Callithrix jacchus: one gene and its partner. The protein of the gene in region 1 interacts with the protein of each later gene in a pairwise test. Links are inferred from orthologs where the notes say so. Each region holds a gene or a part of one and is shown in the gene's direction. Other genes may lie near its edges.

Evidence for each region.
Region 2: the proteins of RANBP9 (region 1) and MKLN1 interact in a two-hybrid assay, tested with the Homo sapiens proteins (2 studies listed by BioGRID). The link is inferred for Callithrix jacchus from reciprocal best matches to the Homo sapiens genes RANBP9 and MKLN1.

What each region holds. Positions count from the first base shown.
Region 1 is NC_133505.1:17,016,871-17,031,771, forward strand, and holds part of RANBP9 (ran-binding protein 9), read left to right. Parts: intron 1-7,036; coding exon 7,037-7,221; intron 7,222-9,105; coding exon 9,106-9,218; intron 9,219-10,380; coding exon 10,381-10,489; intron 10,490-14,901. UniProt on the Homo sapiens protein: May act as scaffolding protein, and as adapter protein to couple membrane receptors to intracellular signaling pathways. Acts as a mediator of cell spreading and actin cytoskeleton rearrangement.
Region 2 is NC_133512.1:115,910,076-115,925,768, reverse strand, and holds the start of MKLN1 (muskelin), read left to right. Parts: upstream 1-6,471; 5' UTR 6,472-6,483; coding exon 6,484-6,581; intron 6,582-9,198; exon of another isoform or gene 9,199-9,211; intron 9,212-9,454; exon of another isoform or gene 9,455-10,238; intron 10,239-13,998; exon of another isoform or gene 13,999-14,091; coding exon of another isoform or gene 14,092-14,499; exon of another isoform or gene 14,500-14,502; intron 14,503-15,693. Other genes in the region: large ribosomal subunit protein eL32, read right to left, coding at 14,092-14,499. UniProt on the Homo sapiens protein: Component of the CTLH E3 ubiquitin-protein ligase complex that selectively accepts ubiquitin from UBE2H and mediates ubiquitination and subsequent proteasomal degradation of the transcription factor HBP1.

The sequences.
Region 1 (14,901 bases):
TTTTCGCCAAGTTGCCCAGGCTGATGCCTATGATTTTCTATGTGATACTATCTTCTCTGCTGTCAAGTACATTTTTTAAGATTTCTCTGTTATGTCTCTGGGATTTTCCTTCAGTTTGCTGATTACATCGTGCACATTTGATACTGTCACTTTCATGATAGTAATCGATATCACAAAAATGAAAATTTCATCAGGAAAAGCAATTCAGTCCCAAAAGTTTTTCAGTGAGCTCATTGTTTAACAAATTTGCACCTGTGCAGGCAGTGACCGCTGTGATCATGACAGCTGCCTGACCATAGTAAGGTGTCATCAATTATAAAATGCATTCCAGTTTTCAGAGATGCATTGAGAGAGATGATGGAAGATTCAGAGGCAGTGAATATATCTTTTAAGAAAATCCTAGGGAAAAAAAGCAGAAGAAATCAAAATTATAATAGAAAATAATTTTAAGACAAGGAATATTTGAACCCTACCGATCAAAAGTACTCACCAAGAAGCATTATTTGGCTCTGGGAAACAGGTGGGAGAATTGCTTGAGGCCAAGAGTTCAAAACACCACTTTGGGCAATATGAGACCTCTCCTCTTTAAAAATCCAACTCAAAACCAAGAGAAATGGCTGATGGATTGGATCTGAAAATTACATAAGATCTGAGAATTGACCGTTGTACTTAGCAGAGTAGAGGTCATTGGTGACCTGGAGAAGAAAATTTCAGCAGTATGTTGGAGAGAGACATCCTGATTGGAATGGATTTTAGGATGAGGTGAGTTATAGACAGTGGACAACTCTGGAGGACTTTGGCCACAATGAGGAGAAAAGAAAGGGAGTAGGCTGGGTGCAGTGGCTTACGGCTATGATCCCAGCATGTTGGGAGGCCGAGGTGGCAGATCACAAGGTCAGGAGTTCAAGACCAGCCTGGCCAACATAGTGAAACCCTATCTCTACTAAAAATACAAAAATTAGTCAGACATGGTAGTGCGTGCCTGTAGTCTCAGCTACTCAGGAGGCTGAGGCAGGAGAGTCACTTGAACCTGGGAGGTGGTGGTTGCAGTGAGCTGAGATCACACCACTGCACTCCAGCTTGGGCAACAAGAGTAGCACTTCGTCTCAAAAAAAAAGAAAAGGAAAAAAAGAAATGGAATAGTAGCCAGTGGTGGAAGTTGGGGCAGTAGACAAAAAAGGAGATTGAGCATGCTGATGAAAATTACTTGCACGCAAAAAGTTGATATAGCGTAGAAAGAGGTAGACAGGTGTATGAGATAAATGAGGGGATAGGCTTTTGAGAAGAGCATTGTAGGGACAGGCAGAGTGTGTAGTACAGATTCTTATTGGTGGGTTGATTTGGTCTTTAACTGTTAAGAGACTCTGGTGAGAATGCTGTTAAGTTTCATTTGGCGTTGGTTAAAGGGTTTAGTGGCTGGTTTTTGTTTTTTCCTGTGTTGTGGCACTAAGCATGTAAAACCAACTTGTCAACCTGAGCTTTTGTTGTTGTTAGCTTTCATTTTCTCTTTCATAGATAGAGTGGTGATCATTTGGGAAAAACTTGGTTGGTTGTAGATGTGTTATTTTCTCTCCCACTTTGAATCACCAGTTGTTTTCTCCCTCGGTTAACCAGTGATGTGGAACTTCGTTATAACAGTGGTCAGAGTGGTGGTTTTAGGTTTCCTTTTAGTATAGTGTTTTTCATTTTCAATACTGTAAATCTTCTCAACTTCCACAGGCTCCATACCACTTTTCTACTTAGGAAAAAGTTAATCTTTCTTTTAAAGGAAGCATCAAGGAAATGTTTATATCATATTTTCTGTACCTGTGATTTCTCACTAGCTACCTGTACCATCGACTCCTTAAGAGAAAGTATATTTGCAGAAAAACCAGTTTACCTAGATTGTTCTGCACCTGTTATGGAACATAAGTGTTTATACAGCTTTGAAAACCTTAGATTTTTTCCAGAATAGTCTTTTTCCCCTCAGCTTTTCCTCACCAGTTTGAGAAATGACATTAAATATAATTCAGTTTGGGATTGGGTATATATTTCTTTAGTTAGAGTAGCTGTTCTCATTTTAAGTGATGCTATTTTCCTATTCTAGTCACTGACTTGAAGTCTCCTTTTTATGGATACATTATTTGTATAGCATTTTTAAAAATTTTTTTTAATTATTTTTAAATGAGGAGGAGGAAGGAGAGGGGAAGAGAGTGAGACACACACACACACACACACACACACACACACATGCAGGGGGTTGGGGGGCTGGAGAGAGAGAAATACCTGTATAGTCATTTTTATTAGAAGAAATCTAATATAGACCAAAGCTGTGCTATTGAGAATATGAATTTATAGAGTATACATTTAGCTTTTAAAAAGTTTCTAGGTTGAAAATATCTTTTGCAAGTTAATAGAAATGTTTTCCTATTCTTTTCATAAAGGACCTATTTTGTCTATGTACATAAGCTGGAGTAATTTTTTCAGATTTAGAAACATTTTTCTGGAAAACATTATTACATCTAAATCTGTAGTGAAGATGTGTCTGCTGAGTGGATGAACCTTGAAAACATGCTGAATAAATCAGTCATAGGCCGGGTGCGTGGCTCGTGCCTGTAATCTTAGCAATTTGGGAGGCCAAGGTGGGCAGATTACCTGAGGTCGGGAGTTCAAGACTAGCCTCACCAAAATGAAACCCTGTCTCTACTAAAAATACAAAATTAGCCGGGCGTGATCGCGCATGCCTGTAATCCCAGCTACTTGAGAGGCTGAGACAGGACAATCACTTGAACCCAGGAGGCAGAGGTTGCAGTGAGCCGACATCACGCCATTGCACTCCAGTTTGGGCAGCAAGAGCAAAACTCCAATTCAAAAGAAAAAAAAGCCAGTCATAAAAGATCACATATTTTGTAGTTCCATTTATGCAAAATGTCTAGAATGGGCAAATTCATGGAGTCAGAAAGTAGATTAGTGGTTGCCACAAGTTAGGGGACTGGGGGGATGGGGAAATGGGAATTGTCCTCTGATGGGTACTGGGTTTCTTTCTGAGGTGATGTGATTGTTATACAGTTAAATTATGATAGTTGCACAGTTCTGTCAACATACTAAAAAATATTGAAGGCTGTTGCTTTTTAAAATCTGTGATATAGCAAGTTAAGGACTAGTCCTTAATCCTCTTCCCCCAAATTCTCCAGTTGTATAAATGCTATAAAAATTATAGTTACTTTTCAGTGAGCCAAAACTGACTTAATATTACTAAAAGTTTTTTTAATCTATCTCAGAGTATAGAAGTACAGTATTAAATATTTAAATGAGAAATGTTTATATATACAGAAATGTACAAAAGAGAAGTTCTTCATGATCCCAGTCTCTTTGGCTATAATGTTTAACTTGAATATATATCTTTCTAAATACATACAAGCCAGTATGTTCATTTTTTAAATGTTTATATAAAAGATAGGGTCATACTATATACATTATGTTATACCTTGCTCTCTTCATTTAGTAATGTGTATAGGACATCTTTCTGTGTCCATATATACATTTTTCATTCTGTTTTTCCTGCTTTATGTTCTCTTATTGTATTAACATACTACCACAATTGATCAATTATAAAATGTACATTTTTTCATATTTTAATATTTCTGAAATGAGAATGCACTTTAGGGCCAGGTGTGGTGGCTCACGCCTGTCATGCCAGCATTTTGGGAGGCTGAGACAGGCGGATCACGAGGTTAGGAGTTCACTACCAACCTGGCCACCATGGTGAAACCCTGTCTCTACTAAAAATACAAAAAATTCACTGGGTGTGATGGCGTGTGCCTGTAATCCCAACTACTCTGGAGGCTGAGGCAGGAGAATCGCTTGAACCCAAGAGGTATAGGTTGTGATGAGCAGAGATCAGGCTGTTGCACTCCAGCCTGGGCAACAGAGAAAGACTCCATCTGAAAAAAAAAAAAAGAAGAAGAAGAAGAAGGAAAAGAAAATACACTTTAGAATCAGTGGCTGGTTAGAGTTTAATTTGCGTTGTGTTTTCCTACACATAAAACAGTGATATTTGTTGTTATTAGAATCTGAGATTTGATGAATGTGGTATAATGTCACCTATCTGTGGATATTTTAAAATTTTGTTTGCATTACAAATAATGCTACAAGATATGTCTTTGCACATGCTTGCTTTGAATAAACTCAAGTGAAATTACTGTCGATTTTAATAGATTTTTCCACATTTCTTTATTAAAAGATTATGTCACTTTACATTTCTGTGTGCAATAGATGAGGTTATTTTCCCAACCCTTATCAACATTGGTTATTCTCAGCCTTCCAAGTGTTAATCTGATGTTCAAAAAAGTTTTTAATCTTGCATTTTAAATTTAATTGATTTTATTTTAAGTACACATTAAAAAATCTGCATCTAAAGACTTGAATGCAATTAAGCGTGTCTATATGTTGTCATTTTTATTTCTTCTACAAATTGTCTACATATTCATTGCCATTTTTAAGAATTTGAACTGGTAGTCTTTGTCCTCCTGAAGTGTGAGAATGTTTTCTATATTTGGAATACACATTTTGCCATATGCATGGTACATTTTTTTTTTCTAGAAAGTCATTTGTCTTTGCCATTTGTGGCATGTTTTGTCATAGGGAATTTTAAATTTTTATGAAAGTTTTATCAGATAATTCATGAATGTTGATTGTCTTTGATAGTGTTGACAGAATTATTTTTCTAAATTTGTTAGACAATTTAGATGAGCAAATCATTTTGAAAGTGTCTTTATTTAGACAATACTGAATATCATAATTGTAAACTTTGCTTAATGATAAAATTGCCTTTCACTCTGTTGATTTCTTTATTGTTTTTGGCTTATATGCTTTTGTTTTAAAGTATCTCATAACTCTAGTGGGTTTTAAGGCAAAGAATACTATGCTAGAAGTAGAGAAATGTGAGGTTCTTTTTTTTTCAAGTGCTGCCATTAGCAAGCCGTGTGCTTTTAAATTGTTTCTGTAAAATCCTTTTCTTGTTTTCTTGTTTTTTTTTTTTTTTTTGAGATGGAGTCTCACTCTGTCACCCAAGCTGGAGTGCAATGGCATCATCTCAGCCCACTACAACTTCCACCTTCTGGGTTCAAGCAATTCTCCTGCATTAGCGTCCCAAGTGGCTGGGATTACAGGCGTCCGACACCACATCCAGCTAATTTTTGTATTTTTAGTAGAAATGGGGGGAGTTTTACCATGTTGGCCAGGATGTCTCGATCACTTCGCCTTGTGATCCGCCCGCCTCAGCCTCTCAAAGTGCTGGGATTACAGGCGTGAGCCACCGCGCCTGACCTATTTTTTTCTTTTTTTGAGTTGAAGTCTCGCTGTTGTTGCCCAGGCTGGAGTACAATAGTGTGATGTTGGCTTACTGCAACTTCTGCCTCCTGAATTCAAGTGATTCTTCTGCCTCAGCCTCCCAAGCAGCTGGGATTACAGGTGCATGCCACCACACCTCACTAATTTTTGTATTTTTAGTACAGACAAGGTTTCCCCATCTTGTTCAGGCTGGTCTTATACTCCTGACCTCAGGTGATCCACCCACCTCAGCCTCCCATGGTGCTGGGATTATAGGCATGAACCACCACACCTGGCCTGTTTCTATAAAGTCTTTAGGTCTCCATTTTCTCATTGGCGAAATGGGAACGCTGTACTGTCTCACCTGTTTTTAGCTTAAAAGTCTATAAACCTGTTAGGTTTGTAAGTCTGTAAACCTTTAGCTCTGTTGATTATTAAGAATCTACATTTGCATACTTTGCTTTAACCATTTATTTCCATAATTCAGTAGTACTTTGTTGATGTTTGGCCGCAATATTTATTTTGTTTCTTATTTGTTCTGCTTGATCAAATAGTTGTTTTAAAACATATCCTCTTTAGCATTTTATTGTGAAAACTATTTAACATCTTTATTCACACCGAAATTATCCACTCTTGATCTTTACCTTGTTTTGTACTGAAAATACTTATTATAACTATTAAATCAAAGATATAAGACATAAATACAGAAAACAAAAATATGGTAGGATTTGGAGTTACAAGAGGAAAAAATCCGTCATGGATGTGGTATAGACAAACTTGTGTGTCAACTCCATTTCTGTCACTTGTTAGCAGAATGACCATGAGCAAGTTATTTAACCTTGAATCCTCATTTTCTCTATCTTTGTAGTAGAAATAATAAGAGTGACCTCACAGAACTATTATGATTAAACCCTGGCATTTAGTAGACACTTGGAAACTCATTCTCCCTTTAGATGTAACAACCAATTAGTGACACAGCCAAAAGAATGACTCCTCTATTTTTTTGTATACTTGAGGTTACCACCTTTTCATCTTGAGTAACCTTGAAATCCTGGAGTGTACGTGAATGCATTTCTGAGTTTAGGTATTTAAATTAATCCTTTTCCTCCCTTGAAATATGTACACTTGAGTTTTGTTTTTTCTAATTTAATATAGAGAATCCCCACTCTTCATGGCACTGTGTTTTGCTTGTAGTTAAGGTCTTATCCCCTTCCCTTTGTAAAGTTAGGCATCCCAAATGTGCAGAATGAAAATAGTAAATTTAAGCTATTACATGCCAGACTAGCTGAGATTGTACTTTTATGGTAACTAGCTTTAACATGCAATTTATAGAAATGTATCATATAAAATCTGGGGTAAACCTGAGTTATATGTTTATATTTGAATTTCTATAACTACTATATGACATAATCTTTAGAACAAGAATTACATCTCTATATATTAGTAGCATAGTGCCACATGTTATAATACAACGTTGTCCCTGAATCAGTAAAATAGAGATCTTGGGTTGCTATGTTTTTTCTTGATGATTAAATTGCAGGAAGTGATATTTTTTCATCTAACATACAATGTATTTTAGATCATTTGTTTTAGCCTTCTAATATTTTGACTGGGATTTTAAAATATAAAGTAAATTTATAGTTCTGCTCTTTTAAAGATAACATTAAAATAATATTAAATCTAACATAAAATGGATAGCTGTTTAATGAAATATGTTATCTTACAGCCAAATTTGTATCCTACTGTGGGGCTTCAGACACCAGGAGAAGTGGTTGATGCCAATTTTGGTCAACATCCTTTCGTGTTTGATATAGAAGACTATATGCGAGAGTGGAGAACCAAAATCCAGGCACAGATAGACCGATTTCCTATCGGAGATCGAGAAGGAGAATGGCAGACCATGATACAAAAGTAAGAGTGAAGAAATTTGAATTGACATTATTCAGAATATATTTTTTATAAGACATTTATTCTTTTGGTATTCATGGAAACTTTTTAATCAGTTTATATACTAATATCTCTACAATGTTACTGATTTTATTCTCTCAACAAAAAGTAATTTACTCCACTAAACAAATTAAAAACAATTGATGACACATATAGAATTGTATTTCTGTCTGAATTAATTGGATGGAGGAAATAAAATGATAGGTCATCTAGGCTAGGTTAATTCATTTGCTTTTCTTAGTAATAGGATTTCTGTACGTTACACAATTTAACTTTTAATAATGTTAATGCAAAAGATAAAGTTGAGAGATAATCTAGATTTTATAATTAGGATCTGTGGTTTTTGGACATGAACTTGGCCATGCCCAAGCTCTTAATATTTGAACTAACAGCAGTATAAGTATAGACTTAAATTTTTAATAAATACCATTAAATTTAAAAAGTCCTTTTCACTATTATAATCCAAGCCAAGAAAATAGCAGACTTTCAGATGCAATTGGTCTAACACATGTCATCTTAAATGTCCTTATAATTGCTTTGAATATTCTTAACTTTAAAATTGTCATAAAATTTTGGGGGTATTTTGTTAGAAAAGGCAGTGATTAAGAGACATGATGATGACTGTGAAAGCACACTTCTTCCCTAGAACTACAATCATTTGTATTACAGAGCTTGAACACTCGTTTTTCTGTCCAGCTCAGAGAACAGACAACCCTGATGCAGAATCCCATGGTCACCATGAGCTGAAGCTCTAGGTTGGGTTGTTCTGGCGCCACATTGTTTTAATGCTCTCACTGAGCGTCATGGCAGGGTCATAGAAAACATTGATTTTAATCTTACAGCCAGGATCCTCCCACTTCTTCACTGAATTGTTACTTACCATGAACTCTTGAGAAGTCCATTCTAAAAGGTCCCCTCCCTCTTAAATTAATTTGAACAATTGGATAAAATAAGATGCAGATTTGTTTCTTAGACTTTTTTCCCTGCTTCCTCTCCACTTCTCCTCAGTCTCCTCCTGGTGAACCACTGCTTCCCACCATTTTCTAACTAGCCTGTGTAGTGTCAGATGGAGGCAGGTTTAAGAGTTGAATGTTTGGAGATAACAGATACTTGGGTTAATATTGTTGGATCACCAGTTTTTCTAACCACATTTTGTGGGTGGTAGATACATGTTTTGACTACCTGGTACCTTTTAAAAAGATTATTGTCTTGGAAATATGTCACTTACATGTAAATCATATTTGATAAATCTCTTGGGCAAACCATAGTAATTGATTTAGACTAGAAGGCTGGTTCTTCCTTTAACTAGGCTTTATAGACATTGTTCTGGATTCACCTTAGTATTCTGTACTTACTTTGTGATCCCATCTTATTTAACTGGTATGTAAAGAAAATTATCAAACTTTGGAACGTTAACATTTAATCTTTTACTTTAAAGTTGATTATTTTACAGAATGCCAGCAATTACTGGAATAAGTCATATAATAAAAGCAAAATGAAAATTACGGTTAGTAGGGCTGAATAATAGGATAGGAAGGGAACTGGGGGTAATGATAATCTAAGAATCAAAAAAAAGGTCACTTAATGTCCTTGATTCTCAAGTAATATTTATTTTAGGAGGGTACTCTCAATATGGGATTTCCGTTATCTTTTTGAAAATACTACATGAATACAACAAATGATGTTTTTCAAAAGCTTACTTTAAAGGTGAGGTTCTTAACAACACCTTGTTTCAAGAAAATAGGTTCGTTTTTGTAACACCAGAGTAGACCTTGTTTATGTAAATTGTAGTATGAAGCATGTATTCTCTTCACTAAAAGATGTATGTTTCTTCTGTTTTATTTTAAGAATGGTTTCATCTTATTTAGTCCACCATGGGTACTGTGCCACAGCAGAGGCCTTTGCCAGATCTACAGACCAGACCGTTCTAGAAGAATTAGCTTCCATTAAGAATAGACAAAGTAAGGACACTGTGGTGCATGCTAACATTTGTTTTCAGATTATAGATTGGGTTGCTTTAATTTTTAGAAATTTTATTTTCTTAATTTAAATAATTTCAAGTATATTTAAAATGGATGCCTCTGAATTTTATTTTCACTGACATTTTTGAAGATCAGCCTTAAAAATTCACATAGGTCTGTGTCAGAATTCTAATTCTAGAGAGATTTTGCAGAAATTTTCGTAAGGAATGTCTTTACCATTTTTTTCTTAAAAGAATGTTTTCTTAAACTTTCAGAAAAAAACTAAAATTTTTTAAAAATAAGTAGTTCTGATTAGTTGGAGGAGATAATATGTGAAAGAAAGGTAAGTATCTTTGAATTTAAGTTGCTATCTAATATAAGATAGTATTGATCATACGTATTTATTATTTAGATCCTAGTGCTGGCCTGTGTGGCCAAAGATAAAACAGGCCCTATAATAACAATGGCAGGTTAGCATAACTGTTCCATGGTTAGCCATCCTAAAATTGGTGCTGTATTCCATCAGGGTTGGTATGACTTGACAAGAGGGGGATGAAAACAAAACAGATGGGTGAAATAGGTGGATGAAAACAACCGTTTCATAGATCAAATCGCTGTAATAGCACTGATTACATTGTATTGTAGTTAATTGTGTGCTATCCTTTTCTACTATTTTAATAAGCTCTGTTGAACAGAGATCACTTAACTCATTTTGTATCCTCATCTAATTTAAAAAAGGTCAGATCAAGTGAATGCTCAGTGAATCTCTGTTAAATTGGAATCTTATTCAAAAGCTAGCATTTTTTTAGTCTTTTGTTCAGAAAGTCATATTTGATAAAGCATTTTATTATCTCTTTAAAACATAGTCTTTTTAATCTGTGTTTGAAACTTCAGTATTGCATAATATGTGTTTTAATTATATTACTTGTGTGTTTGTGATTTTTTTTTTTTAATTTGTGACAGTATGTTTTTTTCTAATTTTTTAGTATGTCTGAAATGTTTCCTGGATTGCCTAATGGAAACTATGATGTTAGAAAAAGAAATAGAAATTAATCATAATTTATTTGCAGATTTTTACTAACTCCCTTTTCTGAGGATCCACTAAGTTTATGTTTTACCTACCTTTGTAAAAGTTAATCGTTTGCTTTCTATTACTGAATAGGAATTCAGAAATTGGTATTAGCAGGAAGAATGGGAGAAGCCATTGAAACAACACAACAGTTATACCCAAGTTTACTTGAAAGAAATCCTAATCTTCTTTTCACCTTAAAGTGAGTTTGCATAATAAAATGCTATATTTGTTATGTGTTATAAATATTTGTCATATTTTATATAATAAAAGATATATTTCATGCTTTTGTAATTTTAATTTTCCCCCTTTACAAATATATGTAATTTTGTAATGTACATTTATTTATTTACTTATTTTTATTGCATTTTAGGTTTTGGGGTACATGTGCAGAACATGCAAGATAGTTGCATAGGTACATACATGGCAGTGTGTTTTGCTGCCTTCACCCCTTCACCCACATTTGGCATTTCTCCCCATGCTATCCCTCCCCAGCTCCCCCACCACTGTCCCTCCCCTATTCCCCCCAATAGACCCCAGTGTGTAGTACTCCCTTCCCTGTGTCCATGTGTTCTCATTGTTCATCACCCGCCTATAAGTGAGAATATGCGCTGTTTCATTTTCTGTTGTGTCAGTTTGCTGAGAATGATGTTCTCCAGATTCATCCATGTCCCTACAAAGGACACGAACTCATCATTTTTGATTGCTGCATATATTCCATGGTGTATATGTGCCACATTTTCCCAGTCCAGTCTATCATCAGTGGGCATTTGGGTTGGTTCCAGGTCTTTGCTATTGTAAACAGTGCTGCAATGAACATTTGTGTGCATGTGTCCTTATAGTAGAATGATTTATAGTCCTTTGGATATATACCCAGTAATGGGATTGCTGGGTCAAATGGAATTTCTATTTCTAAGTCCTTGAGGAATCGCCACACTGTCTTCCACAATGGTTGAACTAATTTACACTCCCACCAACAGTGTAAAAGTGTTCCTATTTCTCCACATCCTCTCCAGCATCTGTTGTCTCCAGGATTTTTTAATGATCGCCATTCTAACAGGCGTGAGATGGTATCTCAATGTGGTTTTGATTTGCATCTCTCTAATGACCAGTGATGATGAGCATTTTTTCATATGTTTCTTGGCCTTATGTATGTCTTCTTTTGTAAATTGTCTGTTCATATCCTTTGCCCATTTTTGGATGGGCTTGTTTGTTTTTTCTTGTAAATCTGTTTGAGTTCTTTGTAAATTCTGGATATCAGCCCTTTGTCAGATGGGTAAACTGCAAAAATTTTTTCCCATTCTGTTGGTTTCTGATTCACTCTAGTGACTGTTTCTTTTGCCGTGCAGAAGCTGTGGAGTTTGATTAGGTCCCAATTTGTCTATTTTGGCTTTTGTTGCCAATGCTTTTTTTGTTTTGGTCATGAAGTCCTTGCCTACTCCTATGTCCTGAATGGCTTTGCCTAGATTTTCTTCTAGGGTTTTTATGGTGCCACATCTTATGTTTAAGTCTTTAATCCATCTGGAGTTAATTTTAGTTTAAGGTGTCAGAAAGGGGTCCAGTTTCTGCTTTCTACACATGGCTAGCCAGTTTTCCCAACACCATTTATTAAACAGGGAATCCTTTCCCCATTGCTTTTTTTTGTCAAGTTTATCAAAGATTGTATGGTTGTAGATATGCTGTGTTGCCTCTGATGCCTCTGTTCTGTTCCATTGGTCTATATCTCTGTTTTGGTACCAGTACCATGCTGTTTTGATTACTGTCGCCTTGTAGTATAGTTTGAAGCCCGGTAGTGTGATGCCTCCCGCTATGTTCTTTTTGCTTAGAATTGACTTGGCTATGCGGGCTCTCTTTTGGTTCCATATGAAGTTCAAGGTGTTTTTTTCCAGTTCTGTGAAGAAAGTCAGTGGTAGCTTGATGGGGATAGCATTTAATCTGGAAATTACTTTGGGCAGTATAGCCATTTTCACGATACTGAGTCTTCCTAACCATGAACATGGAATGTTTCTCCATCTGTTTGTGTCCTCTCTTATTTTGTTGAGCAGTGGTTTGTAGTTTTCCTTGAAGAGGTCCCTTATTTTCCTTGTAAGTTGTATTCCTAGGTATTTTATTCTCTTTGTAGCAATTGTGAATGGCAGTTCGTTCTGGATTTGGCTCTCTTTAAGTCTGTTATTGGTGTATGGGAATGCTTGTAATTTTTGCACATTGATTTTATATCCTGAGACTTTGCTGAAGTTGCTTATCAGTGTCAGGAGATTTTCGGCTGAGGTGATCGGGTCTTCTAGATATACTATCATGTCATCTGCAAATAGAGACAATTTGGCTTCCTCCTTTCCTATTTGAATACCCTTTATTTCTTTTTCTTGCCTGAGTGCTCTGGCTAGAACTTCCAGTACTATATTGAATAGGAGTGGTGAGAGAGGGCATCCTTGTCTAGTGCCAGATTTCAAAGGGAATGCTTCCAGTTTTCGCCCATTCAGTATGATATTGGCTGTTGGTTTGTCGTAAATAGCTTTTATTATTTTGAGATACATTCCATCGATACTGTGTTTATTGAGGGTTTTTAGCATAAAGGGCTGTTGAATTTTGTCAACGGCCTTCTCTACATCAATTGAGATAATCATGTGGTTTTGTTTTTGGTTCTGTTTATGTGGTGAATTACGTTATAAACGACTAGCATATGTTGAACCAGCCTTGCATCCCCGGGATGAATCCTACTTGATCATGATGGATAATCTTTTTGATGTGCTGTTGCAGTCGGCTTGCCAGTATTTTATTGAAGATTTTTGCATCTATGTTCATCATGGATATTGGCCTGAAGTTTTCTTTTCTTGTTGAGTCTCTGCCAGGTTTTGGTATCAGGATGATGTTGGTCTCATAAAATGATTTGGGAAGGATTCCCTCTTTTTGGATTATTTGGAATAGTTTCAGAAGAAATGGTACCAGCTCCTCTTTTGTGTCTGGTAGAATTTGGCTGTGAACCCATCTGGACCTGGGCTTTTTTGTGTGGTAGGCTCTTATTGGCTGCCTGAACTTCAGACCTTGTTATTGGTCTATTCATAGTTTCAGCTTCCTCCTGGTTTAGGCTTGGGAGGACACAGGTGTCCAGGAATTTATCCATTTCTTCCAGGTTTACTAGTTTATGTGCATAGAGTTGTTTGTAATATTCTCTGATGATGGTTTGAATTTCTATGGAATCTGTGGTGATTTCCCCTTTATTGTTTTTTATTGCATCTATTTGGTTGTTCTCTTTTTTTTTTTTTTTTTTTTTTTTTTTGAGACGGAGTTTCGCTCTTGTTACCCAGGCTGGAGTGCAATGGCGCAATCTCGGCTCACCGCAACCTCCGCCCCCTGGGTTCAGGCAATTCTCCTGCCTCAGCCTCCTGAGTAGCTGGGATTACAGGCACGCGCCACCGTGCCCAGCTAACTTTTTGTAATTTTTAGTAGAGACGGGGTTTCACCATGTTGACCAGGATGGTCTCGATCTGTTGACCTCGTGATCCACCCGCCTCGGCCTCCCAAAGTGCTGGGATTACAGGCTTGAGCCACCGCGCCCGGCCCTCTCTTTTCTTTTTTATCAGTCTGGCTGGTGGTCTATTTTGTTGATCTTCTCAAAAAACCAGCTCTTGGATTTATTGATTTTTTGAAGGGTTTTTCATGTCTCTATCTCCTTCAGTTCTGCTCTGATCTTAGTTATTTCTTGTCTTCTGCTAGGTTTTGAGTTTTTTTGATCTTGCTCCTCCAGCTCTTTCAGTTTTGACGATAGGGTGTCAATTTTGGATCTCTCCACTCTTCTCATATGGGCACTTATTGCTATATATTTTCCTCTAGAGACCACTTTAAATGTGTCCGAGAGATTCTGGCATGTTGTGTCTTCGTTCTCATTGGTTTCAAAGAACTTTATTTCTGCCTTCATTTCATTGTTTATCCAATCAGCATTCAAGATCCAGTTCAGTTTCCATGAAGCTGTGTGGTTCTGAGTTAGTTTCTGAATTCTGAGTTCTAACTTGATTGCACTATGGTCTGAGAGACTGTTTGTTATGATTTCTGTTGGTTTGCATTTGCTGAGGAGTGATTTACTTCCAATTTTATGTGGTTAGTTTTAGAGTAGGTGTGATGTGATGCTGAGAAGAATGTATATTCTATGGATTTGGGGTGGAGAGTTCTGTAAATGTCTATCAGATTTGCTTGTTCCAGGTCTGAGTTCAAGCCCTAGATATCCTTGTTAATTTTCTGTCTGGTTGATAATATTGACAGTGGAGTGTTAAAGTCTCCCACTATTATTGTGTTGGAGTCTAAGTCTCTTTGTAAGTCGTTAAGAACTTGCCTTATATATCTGGGTGCTCCTCTATTGGGTCCGTATATATTTAGGATCGTTAGCTCTTCTTGTATCGATCCTTTTACCATTATGTAATGGCCTTCTTTGTCTCTTTTGATCTTTGTTGCTTTAAAGTCTATTTTATCAGAGACGAGAATTGCAACTCCAGCTTTTTTTTGCTCTCCATTTGCTTGGTAAATCTTCCTCCATCCCTTTATTTTGAGTCTTTGTGTATCCTTGCATGTGAGATGGGTTTCCTGGATACAGCACACCGATGGGTTTTGGCCTTTTATCCA
Region 2 (15,693 bases), on another chromosome or scaffold:
TACCCATCAATGGTAGACTGGATAATGAAAATGTGGCACATATACACCATGGATTACTATGTAGCCACAAAAAATGATGAATTCATGTCCTTTTGCAGGGACATGGATGTATCTGGAAGACATCATTCTGAGCAAACTGACACAGGAACAGAAAACCAAACACCACATGTTCTCCTTCATAAGTTGGAGTTGAACAATGAGAATACATGGACACAGGGAGGGAAATATCACACACCAGAGGCAGTCAGGGTGGGGCCAAGGGGAAGGAGAGCATTAGGACAAATACCTAATGAATGTGGGGCTTAAAACCAAGATGACATTTGGTAGGTGCAGCATACCACCATGGCACATGTATACTTATGCAACAAACCTGCACGTTGTGCACATGTATCCCACAGTTTAAAGTAAAATTAAAAAAACAAAAACTTTTCAAATCTCTCATTATCAGGTATTATCCAGCACAAATAGCTATTATTCCTGGTTTTTGAACTTTAAAAAAAAAACAAAGGTACCCTTCCAAATGACTCACCAAAATCAATGAGCCTCAATCAAGGTTATGACTTAACCAAAGATGCATGGGGCATCTTCAAAGGAGGTACAACACAGTCCTCACAACAGCCAGAATCACACCAAAGACAGCTCACAGAAAGGAAAGTTTCACTATCCACAAGTGAAGTACAACTCACATTGCTATCTGGCATGATTTCCACGATCTTAGCTTCTTAGCTGGGTACTCACGAAGGCCCAAATGCTCTGTATGTCCCACAAATGGATAAAGACAGGAAATCAAAAGTTGTCCATGGAAGGGATAAGGCTCAACAACAAACGGTATCCCAAAAGGTCAAGAATCATACAATAATTTAAAACAAAAGGGACTAGCGCCCTGGCCAGGAATTGAGCCCAGGTTACAGTGGTGAAAGCACTAAACCCTAGCCATTATATAGAGAGTTTTGTATTTGTTTTCATTTTTTTTTTTTTGTTTGTGTGTTTGTTTTTTGGTAAATCTTGCAGGGAATTCAAAGCAGGCAGTTTAAGCATTTAAGGATTTTAACTTTTTTTAGATCTGATCTCATCTGGAACGCTGCTTCACTAATTCCCTGAAGGTTAGCATTTTAAAGACATAAGATTTAAAGGGTACTTTCTGATAGTGGCTCAATAAATCAGTGTGTATTAGTTCATTCCCACACTGCTATAAAGAACTACCGAGACTGAGTAATTTATAAATCAAAGAGGTTTAATTGACTCACAGTTCCGCATGGCTGGGGAGGCCTCAGGAAACTTACAATCACGGTGGAAGGGGAAGGGGAAGCAAGCACCTTCTTCACAAGGCAGCAGGAGAGAGAAAGCCAGAAAAGTAACTGCCAAACACTTTAAACCATCAGATCTCATGAGAACTCCCTCACTATCATGAGAACAGCATGGAGGAAACTGCCCTACGATCCAATCACCTCTTACCAGGCTTCTCCCCTGACACACGGAGATTGCGATTCAAGATGACATTTGGTTGGGGACATGGAGCCAGACCATATCACAGTGTCATTCACTAGACCTGGTTAGAAAAAATTTTGTTGGATCTGCATTTTTATAGTCTCAGCAGTCTTATTCCCGTTCTGTTGTTGTTCTGTTTGTTCCTTCTGCTCTAAATTTAAATTCATTTCCCCTGAGAGAAGGAAGTGTGTGTGTTGTGAGATTTAAAAAATCTCTGCCTAAGAGATATATGGAAGTCAAGGGAAGAGGCAGAAAGAGATGAGTTCAGATCACAGGGCTGGAAGGAAAAGGAGGATCTGCGGATGAAAAGCAGAAAGCCTGTGAAGTCTTTTTAAATCGTTTCAAATATCCCCTTGTTTACCTCTGGAATAAAGGCGATTTTTTTCTTTCAGGATTTTTTAGGTGCCACTGGAAGTAAGTCTCCTATTTATATGTCTGGTTGTAAAACCAGCTCTTTCCATTGGTACGCACAAATAAATTACTTAAGGTATATCAAAAGATCCCCATTTTTGGTCATTGTTGCCTATCATCATTCCAGGTTAGAGGGGTCCACTTTCCCAGGTGCTACAAGAGTACCCCATAAATCGTATATGTAATTCCAGCTGGTATTTCTAAAAAGAGTGTTTGGGTTTTGAATATTCTTATTATTGATTTCACATAATTCAGAAACTTTTCAAAAGTGACCAAAGTCAGAAATGTGTTTAGGATCAAAGTGTGACATGTCTTGGACTGTCTCTAATTGTCAGATGGCAGCAAAGTCCTCAAGGATGAGGACAACTGGATTGTCTGTAATTGTCAGATGGCAGAGTCCTCAAGGTACAAGGGACCAGACCCTCATATTATGCCCATCTGGAAGAGCAAAAGGGGTATGCTTTTTAGTTAGGAACTAACAGGAATTGGTCAAAATTAAAGGCAAATTCAGAATTTTCAAGAAATTGAAGACAGCTGCTATCTCAAAAGCATACTGTCTAAAATGAAACCACTGGTACCATCTGCCAGTTCTTTCACTTGAACCTCTGCTGTGAGACGGAGGTGAAAAAAACTTGACCCAAACCCCTGGTTCTGAGGCAGAGGCAGAAAAACTATGACTTGCACCTCTGCTGTGAGACAAAGGGGGAAAAAAGGCAGTTCCCTGCAGAGCTCTTTACCCAAATCTCCTGTCCAAAGACAGAGAAAGAAGCCCTCATTCTGAAAAAAAAAAAAAAAAGAGAGAGGGTTTGAAAAACAGCCGGAATAAAGTGTAGACCTTCAACCAAAGAGCGGGAGGTCCAAATTTAGGAGATCTCACCTGAAACACCTGAAGGCACTTCTGAAGGAGGCGAGTTCACGCTGGTATCAAGTGCTGCTTTCAGAGAGAAACACCAGGTGGCTGGGGAGTCACTGAATCCTGCTGATTTACTCTAGGTGTTTGACCTATAAGAAAGAAGCTGAGGCAAAATTAATATAAGTTGGGAGTTTATGTGGCCCAGGCTTGAGGACTGCAACCCTGGAACATAGATTCAGGTTGCCCTGATTATAAACTCTAGTAGCAGCAGTTACAAGTGGATTTTCAAAGAGAAAGATCTTTACAAGTGGATTTTAAAGGGAAAGATGATCTTGAGTTATTTACCAATAATTGACCTTAAAATAAAATAAGCTACTGATTGGCTATACATTATTAAACTACAGGATGTGGGTTATAATGTCTGGTGCAGCATTAATTAGTAGGTTACTGTTTAGCTTCTGCGGCAATAGTAAGCAGTTTCAAGAGACAAATACACGGCTCAAAAGCTGTGTATTTCACAGCCATTTCACTTTAATGCCTCTCTGGGCCTCATAATTTAAAAGGATTTGCATTTCTCAGATAAAGTTCTTTTCTTAACATTTAAACAAATTTTCAGCTCAGTATCATAATATAGCTGTCTGTATTTATGTTAACATAGAAATGCTTTAAATTATTTTACCATTTATAAAATTTGTGATGCAGGAAAGCCACGCTATCCTGGGTCTTCACCTTCTGAGTAGGAATCATACCTGAGGGATACATGTTTGTAGTCTGAGAAGTGCTGGCATTCTTTTTCCTTTGCAACTCAGAAGTCACTAATTCAAGTTCTCTTTTAGCACTGTTCATTCATTCTTTGATAAATATTCACTGAACATCTATTTGCTAGACACATCAACAGAACTGAGGAGACAACTGTGAACAAGATATGTATGAGTCTTATCTTCATGGGAGCTATCATCTAGAGAGAAAGAGAAATAAAGAGGAAATTAAAATATATTGTGATGTGTGCTAAGATAAAGAGGGAAACTTAGAGTGCCAAGAGAAATGTAAAAAATGTCACCTATCCTGTGTCAGTTTGCACAGGAAAAAAAAAAAATGAAGAAAAATGTCACCTAACCCCATAGCAGGTGATGAAGAAAGATTTTCAGCCAGATGCAGTGGCTCACACCTGTAATCCCAGCACTTTGGGAGGCTGGGCTGACGCAGGAGGATAACTTGAGCCCAGGAGTTCAAGACCAGCCTGGACAACAGAGTGAAACCCTGTGTCTACAAAAAAATTTAAAAAGTAGGTTGGTGTAGTGATGTGTGTCTCTGGCCCCAGCTACATGGGAGGATGAGGCAGGATGATCCTTTAAACCCAGGAGGTCAAGGCTGTAATGAGCCATGTTCATGCCACTGTACTCTATCCTGGGTGACAGAGTCAGAGTGAGACTCTGTCTCAAAAAAACTTCCAGGAAAAAATAGTCTACTGGAGTTAGCCAGGTAAAGTATAGGAAAGAATATTCCATGCCTGGCTTAGAATAAGCCCTGGAGGCTAGAAAGAACAAGGACTCTATGGGAACAAATTCAGTGCACTGGTTTAGAGGGCAGATGTCAAAAGGGCAAAGGAGAAAGATGGGGGGAGGGGGCAAGGGAAGCTGGAGAGAAAAATCAAGGCAGGTTATGAAGGGCCTCTGTTAAACAGTTTAGAAGGGGGCTGAAAGTCACCAATAGGATTTAAGCTTAAGAAGAACTAGTTTATATGTGTTTTTAAAAAAGATTGCTCGGGAACTATGTCTGGAAAAGAACAAGGGCTTGACTTACACTAAGGTAAAAACCTGGGGCCCAAAAGAATTGGAGTGAGTTAATTCCTCTCCTTTAAAGTGTCTCTTTTCTCCAAAGATAACCACTGTATCAACTCTGGGGCTAACATTCTTTGTCCCTTTCCTACTCGCTGTGGCAGCTCCCAACCCAAGTCACTAGGGCTACAGCGTTCCCTTAAGGAACACATACTTTTCCAACCTGCTGCAACACACAGAGCACATGTAATTTTATTTATTTTTCTGAGACAGAGTCTGACTCTGGAGTTCAGGGGTGTGACCTTGGCTGGCTGCAACCTCTGCCTCCTAGGTTCAAGTGATTGTTGTGCCTCAGCCTTCCAAGTAGCTAGAATTACAGGTGTATGTCACCACACACGGCTAATTTTGTATTTTTAGTAGAGATGGGGTTTCACCATATTGGCCACAGTGGTCTCGAACTCCTGACCTCAGGTGATCCACTTGCCTCAGCCTCCCAAAGTGCTGGGATTACAGGTGTGAGCCACTGCACCTGGCCAAGCACATGTAATTTGAAAGGTGAACATACTTGTGGCCTTTCTTATTTTATTTTTGATATTTTAGAGATGGGGATCTTGCTACATTGCCCAGTCTGGTCTCAAACTCCTGGGCTCAAGTGATCCTCCCACCTGGGCCTCCCAAGGTGCTGGGATTACAGGTGTGAGCCACTGTGCCCTGCCTGACCTTTCTATTTGGTCTTTTTTGATCTGATATCCTCGTTTAGGCCACTATTAAATTTTCATCTATAGAAGTAGGAAGTCAGGAAAGGACTGGAGGGAGTTTCGGCAGGTTAATGATTACAATGGAAAGAGAATACAATTATTGAGGTGTTTTGAGTCACTTGGTCATTTCCCGAGAAACTCTTTGCTTAAATATTTCCACTCTTCAGGTGGAGATGACGATACCGTTCAGGTTTTCAGAAGACCAACCTCTTGGACAATAAGCAACATATAACTTTGGTAACTGCAGTGGCTAAGCCAAGGAAAAAATATGAACAGGTACTTAATGGGAACCTGATCTAAAGCTGCCAGATATTTAGACCAAGTGCTCCTTTTGTTTTAAGAAGTTGTGTGATGCCCATATGGTTTTCAGGGCTGCTGTTCCCTCTGTGAGGAAGGAATCGTCTTTTTCCTGAACTTCTCTTTCTCTCAACTTTGAGGCCATATTTTTGTCAGTTCAAAGTGGGCAGATTTGCCAACTGGAAAAACGATGACACGCAGCCTCCCAACTCTGTAAGGACTTTTCAGGTCTGTGGGTGAACGTCATTCCCGAGCAAACCTCATGCTACAAGATTAGTAGGACGTGGTTCACAAGATATGTTTACAATGAAGGGCATCACAGACTGAAAACCTAACAGGGTAGGAGGACACAGGACCATTTCCTTTTCCTGTTTCCATCTGACTCTGGAAGGCGGGGACATTTAAAACCAGGACCACTCCAGGAGTAGAGCACGTTAGCTACTGCCCTCCAGCTCCCTTCAGTGTTGTTTTCGTAAAGGATTTATACATTGGCTAGGGCGGCGGCTTCCAAAGGCGCACAGGCGTCCCTTTTCCAACTTGGTCTCCTCGTTTTCCCTTCCTGCTCCATAACTACAACGTGTTTCTGTTTGTAATCATCTTGGCTAGTCCTTATCTCTGCTTGTAAGAAAAATCCTTTGCGCCATTCCCCTCCAAGCCCCAGGAAAAAGCTTGGAAAGCGCTCCCACCTCAGCCCCAGTGTCGCTCAGCGGTCAAGGGGCAAGCGACGTAGGAAACCCTGAGATAGGACCCTGGCCCCGCGCTGGGCCCGGGTAACGATGCCGGGGCAAGGAGCGCGGCCGGCCTGGGCGGGCGGCGGCCCCTTTAAGAGCAGGCCACGCCCCCTCCCTCCTCCCGTTCGTGGCCAGCGGACGGTGGCGGCCGCTACGGTGCTGACAAGATGGCGGCTGGCGGAGCTGTCGCTGCGGCGCCTGAGTGCCGGCTTCTCTCCTACGCTCTACACAAGTGGAGCTCCTTTTCCTCCACCTACCTTCCCGAGTAAGTGCCGGGCCCTGAGCTCGTGCTGCCCCACTCTTCCGCGTCAGTACGGCTGGGTCAGGGATGCCTTGGAGGGCAGCCGAGCCGAAAGGCCCAGGCGGGGCCTGCTGAGGGGAACGCGCGGCCTCGGGAGCCTTAGTTCAGCTGCTGAGAGCGTTGCTCGGCCCCGCTCCGGAAGGGGTTAGGGTCCCGAGAGCGAGCCCAGGGAGAAGGGGCGCAGTGTGTGGTGGATCCGGGGCGCGCACAAGAGAACCGGAAGCCCAGTGGTGCTGCGTTTGGGATTTGGGGGTTGAGGTTGAGGAGGGCTTGCGGGGCGGGCGGCTCATGGAGGTGGGGCAGGAATCGGAGCTTGCGGGGCCTGGCCCGCGGACAAACTACTCCGAAGGTCTGAGGTCGTCCGAGGTGGCCGGCGTTGGGGGACAGTTCAGTCGATTGCTGCCGGGACAAAGTGTAAAGACGAGGAGTGTATTCCAGAGTGGGGTCATTAAAAGTGATTAGCTGTAGAGTAGCGTTAAAAGTCACAGAAGGCTGAAAAGTTGTGGAATCCTTCTGAATCCCGGCAAGCGGGGAGAAGTTGTAGGACTGGCAGACGATGTCTTTAATGCATGGAAGTTCTGAAAAAGATAGGGAGTGGGAAGGAGGGACGTTACTGAGGAATCCCACTATTTCGTCTCATTAGAAGATGAGTTTGTATAGACACAGACCAGTTTCCCAACCCAGAAACTCAAAACAGAAAAATCTGGCTTTAATGAATTTGATTTTCAACACCGGCTCTGTGGTGATTCCCGATTTAGGTGTTAAACAGTTCAGTTACATTGTTAGGTTTTTTCCTTTAGCACATTCCTTCTGAAATGCTGAAAAAACTCTTACATAGTATCTTGTTTATCTTTGGCTTCTCTTTGAAAGGAGGAGCAGATCTAACTCCCAGATTTACATGCTAGTGGAGAAACTGGCTTAGTAAAGGTTTGAGATCTGTGCAGATCCTTTTTTCCTCTAGCAAGTTCCTTCTCAAATGCTGAAAATACTCTTGCATAGTATCTTACATATCTTTGGCTTATCTCTGAAAGGAGGAGCAGATCTAACTCCAATTTTACATGCTAGTGGATAAGATCTGTGGAGATCCTGAAGAAAAGTCCTAGTTATCCCTCTAACCATCATCACAGGCCCGAAACGATTTTATGAACAAAACAAATTAATGAATACTATATTTTTATCTTACTAAACAAAAAAGTGACTAGATCTGTGAGGCGTACTCAAGTAAGTTTTCCACCTATATTTGAGAAATTCTTCACATTTACCCAAATTTGATTTCACTAGTTACATCAATGAGGAATCTCAAAATGGAGCTGCAACTGGAAGAATCTGTTTTGACTACCAGCCTCCCTTTTATTCACCAGGTCAGGGGTTAGCATTCAGTAGGATCTGGCTCACTGAAGGATGCCAATGACCGGTGGTTTGATTTGGCCGGCGTAGCCATATTCATGGCCATATCCCTGATTGATGCTGGAACTCAACTTTCAGTTTTAGAGTGAGCCAGGTAGACATTCCAGCCATCAGCTGCAGTTGAAATGTGGCCCTGTGTACTTGACTTCTGTTATTTTGGGTTACCATGTTCTTGAATGTGAAGTTATTCAGCATTTTTCTATACCCAGTCTAGCATTATGAACAGTTGGTAATTGGTGTGGCATTGTTTGGTCAAACTGTAGAGACATTTTTCTGGTCTTGAATTAGTCTATTTCCAGGATGTCAGCCCTTAAACTGTTGATGTAGGCCTCTTGAATAACACATGTAATATCTGCGTTATCTGTTGCATGGACATTTTAAGAAAGAGTACATTTCCAGTAGGAAATGATTTAGTGGTATGGCAGCTTTAATCTGATTTTGTGTCTTGTTACTCTGGTCCCTGGTTTGCTGTGGGCAGAACACTAGTTTTGGAGTTAGAGAGCAACAATTTGAGATTGGAGAAATACATTGCTGCAATTTTCTCAAGCACATACATAAAATAGTTTAGTACTTACTTAACTTTCATACAGTTCCATTTACTATATCTTAATCCTTATGACATTCTGTTGACAAATATAGTTTGTTTGTTTGGCAGTATAGTTTGTATTTAAAGCATAAAGTATTAGAGCAGTCTGAGCTTTTTTCTTTGAAGGAGTGTAGTCGAGTAATACGGAGCTTAAGTTGGAGAATATTGTGTCTGCTGGGTTGGTGTGTGCCATGCCTAAATTATAAAACTCTTGGTGCTGAACTTCTATTAGCAAGCAAAGATATTACTTCTCTGTATGTAAGAAAGGGATTGGCTTTACTTACCTTTGCATTAAAATCCCTTCTAGCAGCAATTGCTATCTTTACTGGCAGTGGAAACCACATTAAGGTGCTTCTTAAACAGTCTCATTTCAGGTAAAGTCGTTTGTTGAAATTGTCCACAAATTGGCAAATAATTTGTTGACATAGATCTAAACATATTAAGGTGGCGGTAATAAAACAGTAACAAAAATGGTAAACATTTGTGATGTGCCCTCCAGTTGCTAGGCTCTCTTATGAACGAACATTTTTAAGTGTATCAACTCATTTAATCCTTACAGCAATCCCAAGTGGAATCTACATTTCCCAGATGTTGGAAACAGGTAGGGAGAAGTTAAAACTTGCCTAAGGTCACACAGCTGATTGGAGCCAGGATTTGAATCAAGGTAGTCAGCCTCAATAGTCTGGTCTTTGAGTATAGTGATTTACTGCTTCTGCACAAAGTAGATATAGTACAGGAAATGAGAGCTTTCAAAGTGTTCTTGTATTAAAGACATTTTAGTTGTGTAAAGAAATGTGAAGTCATTTTAAAAAGTTGAACAATTTTATCTCATTTTCTTTCTAAGGACTTAGAATAGAATTTTTTTCCTCTTCTTCCAGGGGCAGAAAAAACAAACATTTCCCCTTTCAACTCTTTTTGATTTATTTGGACCTTAAAAATATTAAAGCAGGCGCGAGTCCGGCCCCCGCCAGCCCGCAAGCCACCCGCGAGCTCACACCGGCTTCTCTCTCTCATCCTCTGGTTGCGGGCGCCATCGCGGTAGTGCTGGGAGCCGCTCTCCGCCGCTGCGCTGTGGCTGCAACCGCCCGGGCCGGCCCTCGAGGCCTCCTGCACTACGCCCCGACCCCCGGCCCCACCGCGGCTATCCAGTCAGTTCGCTATTATTCCCATGGGTCAAAAGAGACAGATGAGGAGTTTGATGCTTGCTGGGTAACATACTTCAACAAGCCCGATATAGATGCCTGGGAATTGCGTAAAGGGATAAACACACTTGTTACCTATGATCTGGTTCCAGAGCCTAAAATCATTGATGCTGCTTTGAGGGGAGACAGACGGTTAAATGATTTTGCTAGTACAGTTCGCATCCTAGAGGCTGTTAAGGACAAAGCAGGACCTCATAAGGAAATCTACCCCAATGTCATCCAGGAACTTAGACCAACTTTAAATGAACTGGGAATCTCCACTCCAGAGGAACTCGGCCTTGACAAAGTTTAAACCCCGTGGATGGGCTTCCCAAGGATTTATTGATATTGCTACTTGAGTGTAAGCAGTCACCTGGAAATACTGATGATAACATATTACCTTATTTGAACAAGTTTTCCTTTATTGAGTACCAAGCCATGTAATGGTAACCTGTACTTTAATAAAAGGGAAATGAGTTTGAACTTAAAAAAAAAAATTAAAGCAGATCCAGTTTTAGGGAATACATTTTTACTTTCAGACTAACAAAATGGCCTTTTATTTTTGTGTGCTTAGAAGAGATTGCCTGTATTTTACTTTTTTCCTGAAATTTACCCCTAATTTGAGAGTTAAATACACTTATTTAAATAATTCATTGAATTACATACACTCTTATACGTAAAAGTATTTTGTAAACTGCTAATCCCTGTGCTCGGATGTTTATTGTTGTAGCTAATAATGATGCTAGCTATAATTTATTGAGCACCTAATATATGCAAGATGATTTTTGTATACAGTTTGTTTAATTCTTGGCACAAACCTGTAAGATAGGTATTATATATTTAAAAAATTTGCAGAGGATGAAACTGAGGTCCATACAGAGTAAGTAGCTTGCCCAGGGTCGTATAGTTTTCCAGACCCTTGACAGGTTTTCTGACTTAACAACTATTGCATTGTGCCTTTAACAGTCACCATTTATTGAGTACCTTCTATTCTTCAGGTACTGTACTGAGCACTTTGCATGTGTTCTTTGATTCAGTCTTCACAAAAACCCTATGAGATAAATATTATTCTCTGTTACAGCTAGGAAAAGTGAGATTCAGAGAGGTAAATTAACTTGTCCAGGTCTAAGAGTTGAAAGTGTAGGAGGGGCAGGGCAGGGTGGCTCATACCTGTAATCCCTGCACTTTGGGAGGCCAAGGCAGGAGGATTACTTGTGCCAGGAATTTGAGACCAGCATGGGCAACACAATGGGACCCCATTTCTAAAAATAATGAGGAGGAGGAGGAAGAAAATGTAGGAGATATGGTTCTCACCTTGGGCCTTTTGACTTTTATCATGAAAGCTATCTCATTATTACATATGGCTATCGTATGTCAAATTGAGATGACAGATAAGAAGTACTCTAAGGTTAGAACAGCAGGAGAGGGAAAATATATTTTATCTTGATGTTTAAGATTTTAATATACTCAAGAAAACTGGGAGAAACTTGGCAAGTATTTTTTACATATTAGGTATTTTCATTTGTATAAATGATTATGTTGTTTACATGTTTTTGAATGCCTTGAATAATTTAGATGATAAAATTTGATGGATATTTAAGTGTGTTTACCTTTTCCCTGTTATTCTTATTACTTAAAATCAAATAGTACTTAAAATAGTACCTTGTGTCAACATGTGATTCATGGTTCAGGGTACAAATGCTATGATTTGACAACTAGAATAGAAAGTGAATTTATTTCAACTCTTTTTAAAACTATTCACATTTAAAAATGAATGTAGGCTGGGCAGGGTGGCTCAGGCCTGTAATCCTAGCACTTTGGGAGGCTGAGGCGGGACCATCACTTGAGGCCAGGAATTTGAGACCAACCTGGGCAATGTAGTAATACCCCATCTCTACAAAATAAAGAATATATATAAATATTTATATATTTTTATTATACAAAATGCATATGCATATTTGTATATTTTTATTATGTAAAAATATATAAATTTTTATATATTTTTTTCTCTTTGCTCTACTAAAGAAAAAGACACCCTGCCAACACCCCATCTCTACAAAGAAAAAAAAAGTATATGTAAAATGTATTTTAATATGTTTTATAGATAATAGACACTTTTATATTATCTATGAATATATTTATATATGCAAATATATTTTGATGCAAAAATGCTGTTTATTATGGAATATTTACAAAATATAGACCCACAGAAACAATTTGTTACCCTTGATATCACTACCTAAAGATTACTGTTCACCCTTTAAATATTATTTATCATTCCAGATCTTTTGCAGTATATTATATATTTTTCAATTTACTATTGTTCTCTGTTTGCTGTTCTGTATTTGCTTTTTCCTCCTTAACATATAATATATGCTTATGCTATTAAATACTTGTATATTATCTTTTTTTTTTTTTTTTAAAGGGACAGGGTCTTGCTCTGTCACTCATGTTGGAGTGCCATGGCATGATCATAGTTCACTGTGGCCTTGACCTCCTGGGCTCAAGCAGTCCTCCTGCCTCAGTTTTGCATGTAGCTGGAACTATAGACACATGCTACCATGCCTGGCCAATTTTTTTTTTTTGTTTAGAAGGAGTCTGGCTCTGTCACCCAGGCCTGAGTACAGTGGTGCCACCTCAGCTCATTGCAACCTCTGCTTCCCAGGTTCAAGCGATTCTCCTACTTTAGCCTGCCAGGTAGCTAGGATTACAGGCATGTGCCACCACGCCCTGCTACATTTTTTTATTTTTAGTAGAGATAGGGTTGCTCTATGTTGGTCAGGCTGGTCTTGAACTCCCGACCTCAGGTGATTCAGGCGCCTCGGCTTCCCAAAGTAGCTCAGGTGTGAGCTACTGCACCCGGGTCAGAAAAAAATTTTGAACTCATTAGTAATAAATCCCTAGATGTTGAGTTGCTGGATTAAAGACATCAGTTTATTTTCCTTCTATCTGTGTAGACAGACAGCACTCTGGGTAGTCTGGGTTCATTTTGGCATTATCCTTGGTAATTTGGAAGAAAAAATGTTTAAATCAGAGACAGGTTGTTTGAGATGTCTGGAGAATGCTTATAATTCAGAAGTGATAATACTCCCAATAACTTTTTTTCTTCCTCCTTAGTCCTTTATTTTAGCTTTTAAATGAATTTTGATTTTTGTTAATTACATATAGTTGAAAAACAAGGACATATTTATGAAATTTATTGTGTATTTGGTGTACAGATAAAGATGGTTGTACAAATGGATTTGAGGTATTATCATAATTCTGTAGGCTCCTGCAACTCACAATTTGTGAACCACTAGTTTGAAGGAATGAAATTCCCAGAAGACTGGAGACTATTATGCCCTTTCTTTTCTTACTTTTCTTTCCCTACTTTAAACTGAGATTTAAGGACACCGGCCTTGCTTGGGAACCTTACTAGCCACGGAAAGTTCTGTGTTTTTTAGTCTGGGATTGTTAGAACTTCAGAAAAATAAAAACACTCAGGATGGGAAAAATATATGAGGTAGACGCAGGACGAGAATTTGAGTCTTTGTTTTTGTTTTTGTTTTTTTGAGATGGAGTTTCGCTCTTGTTACCCAGGCTGGAGTGCAATGGCGCGATCTTGGCTCACCGCAACCTCCGCCTCCTGGGTTCAGGCAATTCTCCTGCCTCAGCCTCCCGAGTAGCTGGGATTACAGGCATGCACCACCAAGCCCAGCTAATTTTTTTTGTATTTTTAGTAGAGACGGGGTTTCACCATGTTGACCAGGATGGTCTCGATCTCTTGACCTCGTGATCCACTTGCCTTGGCCTCCCAAAGTGCTGGGATTACAGGCGTGAGCCACTGCGCCTGGCCCGAGAATTTGAGTCTTTATAGCTAATTCCTAGAATTAGATATTTATGACTTTTGGCAAGTTATGATTCTTTTGTGGGCATCAGCTTCTTGTGTAGAAATACTTTTTATCTGGATAAAATGTTGCCAGGTTTATGTACAATTTTTTTGAGCAGATGGGCAAATAGTTTTATTATTTGCATAACTTTTAGGTAAATATTTAAATAGGTTTTTAATGAAAGAGTTTTGGCCTTTGTGATGTTTTACATGTAGATAAGATACATTTCAGCCACTTGTGGCAATGAGTTTGCTGTATTTCAGTCATTCAGAAATTGTTTTTGGAAGTATGAGAGATTTCCTAGACTTTAATTTTAGACATACAGCTATTTATAGACATTTTATTTATTTATTTATTTATTTATTTATTTATTTATTTTTTTTAAGGAAGATGGCAGTTTTATTTAAACACAAAACGTGCACATAAGCTGTCTATTCATTTTCTTCACTGCGCAGCCTGGCATTGGGGTTGGTGACTCTGATGGCCAGCTGGGCAGCTCTTTCCACGATGGCTTTGCGGTTCTTGGAGGAAACATTGTGAGCGATCTCAGCACAGTAAGATTTGTTGCACATCAGCAGCACTTCCAGCTCCTTGACGTTGTGGACCAGGAACTTCCGGAAGCCACTGGGCAGCATGTGCTTTGTCTTCTTATTGCTCCCATAACCAATGTTAGGCATTAAGATCTGGCCCTTGAACCTTCTACGAACCCTGTTGTCAATACCTCTGGGTTTCCGCCAGTTACGCTTAATTTTGACATATCGGTCTGACTGGTGCCGGATGAACTTCTTGGTTCTCTTTTTGACGATCTTGGGTTTCACAAGGGGTCTAAGGGCGGCCATGATGCCTTGATTATCTACTTGAACCGGAGTGTCAGTTTCCTCGCCGACCAAGAGACGGCTGCTATAGACATTTTAATATGTATGTTTCAAAGAATAAGTGGTTGAGAATTTAGAGCTCCCTGATTATTGTTTGTTTATATCATTTGTCAGAAATTTCTGATGAGGGACTGTAGAGTGGAATATTTATAAAATTCCTAGGTTTTTATAGGTTCAATCTTAGGATAGTTGATCCAGATATCTTCTCTACTTCCGGATTCCCAGGGCTTGTTTTGTGAATGGCTGGCTCTGTAGATTGTTGCTTATTAAGGGGTGCTCAGATAAAGCTCTGAGAGGTCCAGCAGTATTAAAATCTATTAATATAAGGGACTTTTGAAGAAAATATTTTTTATCACCTTTGCACATTGTGGAGATGTTTCTCTTAGAACATTTTTTCTGTTGTTTAATGAGAACTTCATGACTTGGTTATGAATATTTGTAAAAACCCATGAAGTCAAAGTAGCATTCTGTAGACTAATATATATATATATTCATACTGTAGATAAACAAATATTGTTTGTTTTAATGGTTTTGCTTATGAAATGTTACTTATTAAGATTAATTGATGTTTAGAAAAGTATACAAAGTGAAAGGAAATATCATTTATAGTCATTACCTGATAATAATTTAAGTCCTCTAATATAAATCTGTCCTTAAAGTTGTTGAATGGCAGCTAATTAGATTGAAGTACCCTAACATATCTTATATTTTGAATTGGTGGTTAATAATAATTGGAAAACTAGGCTGTAGATTACATAGCCTAACATTGTAGGGTTTCCTCTCAACACTTTATAGCTGTGTCTCACAAGTTTTGATATGTTACATGTTCATTATCATCTCCGTAAAAATGTTTTTCAAATTTTATTTTGGCTTATTCTTTGACCTGTTGAGTTATTTGTTTTTTGTTTTTTTTAAAGAAGTGTATTGCTTTCTTTCTGAACATTTGGGGATTTGCTAGTTATCTTTCTGTTCTAATTTCACTATGATTAGAGAACACATTCTGAATGGTTTCAGACCTTTATTGATACTTATTTTATGGTTCAGCATTTTTATAAATGTTTATATACCCTTGAAAAGACTATGTATTATGCTCTTAACTACTGTCTTCTATGTACTTTATTAAGGTCGAGTTTGTAAATTTTGTTATTGTGTTGTTCA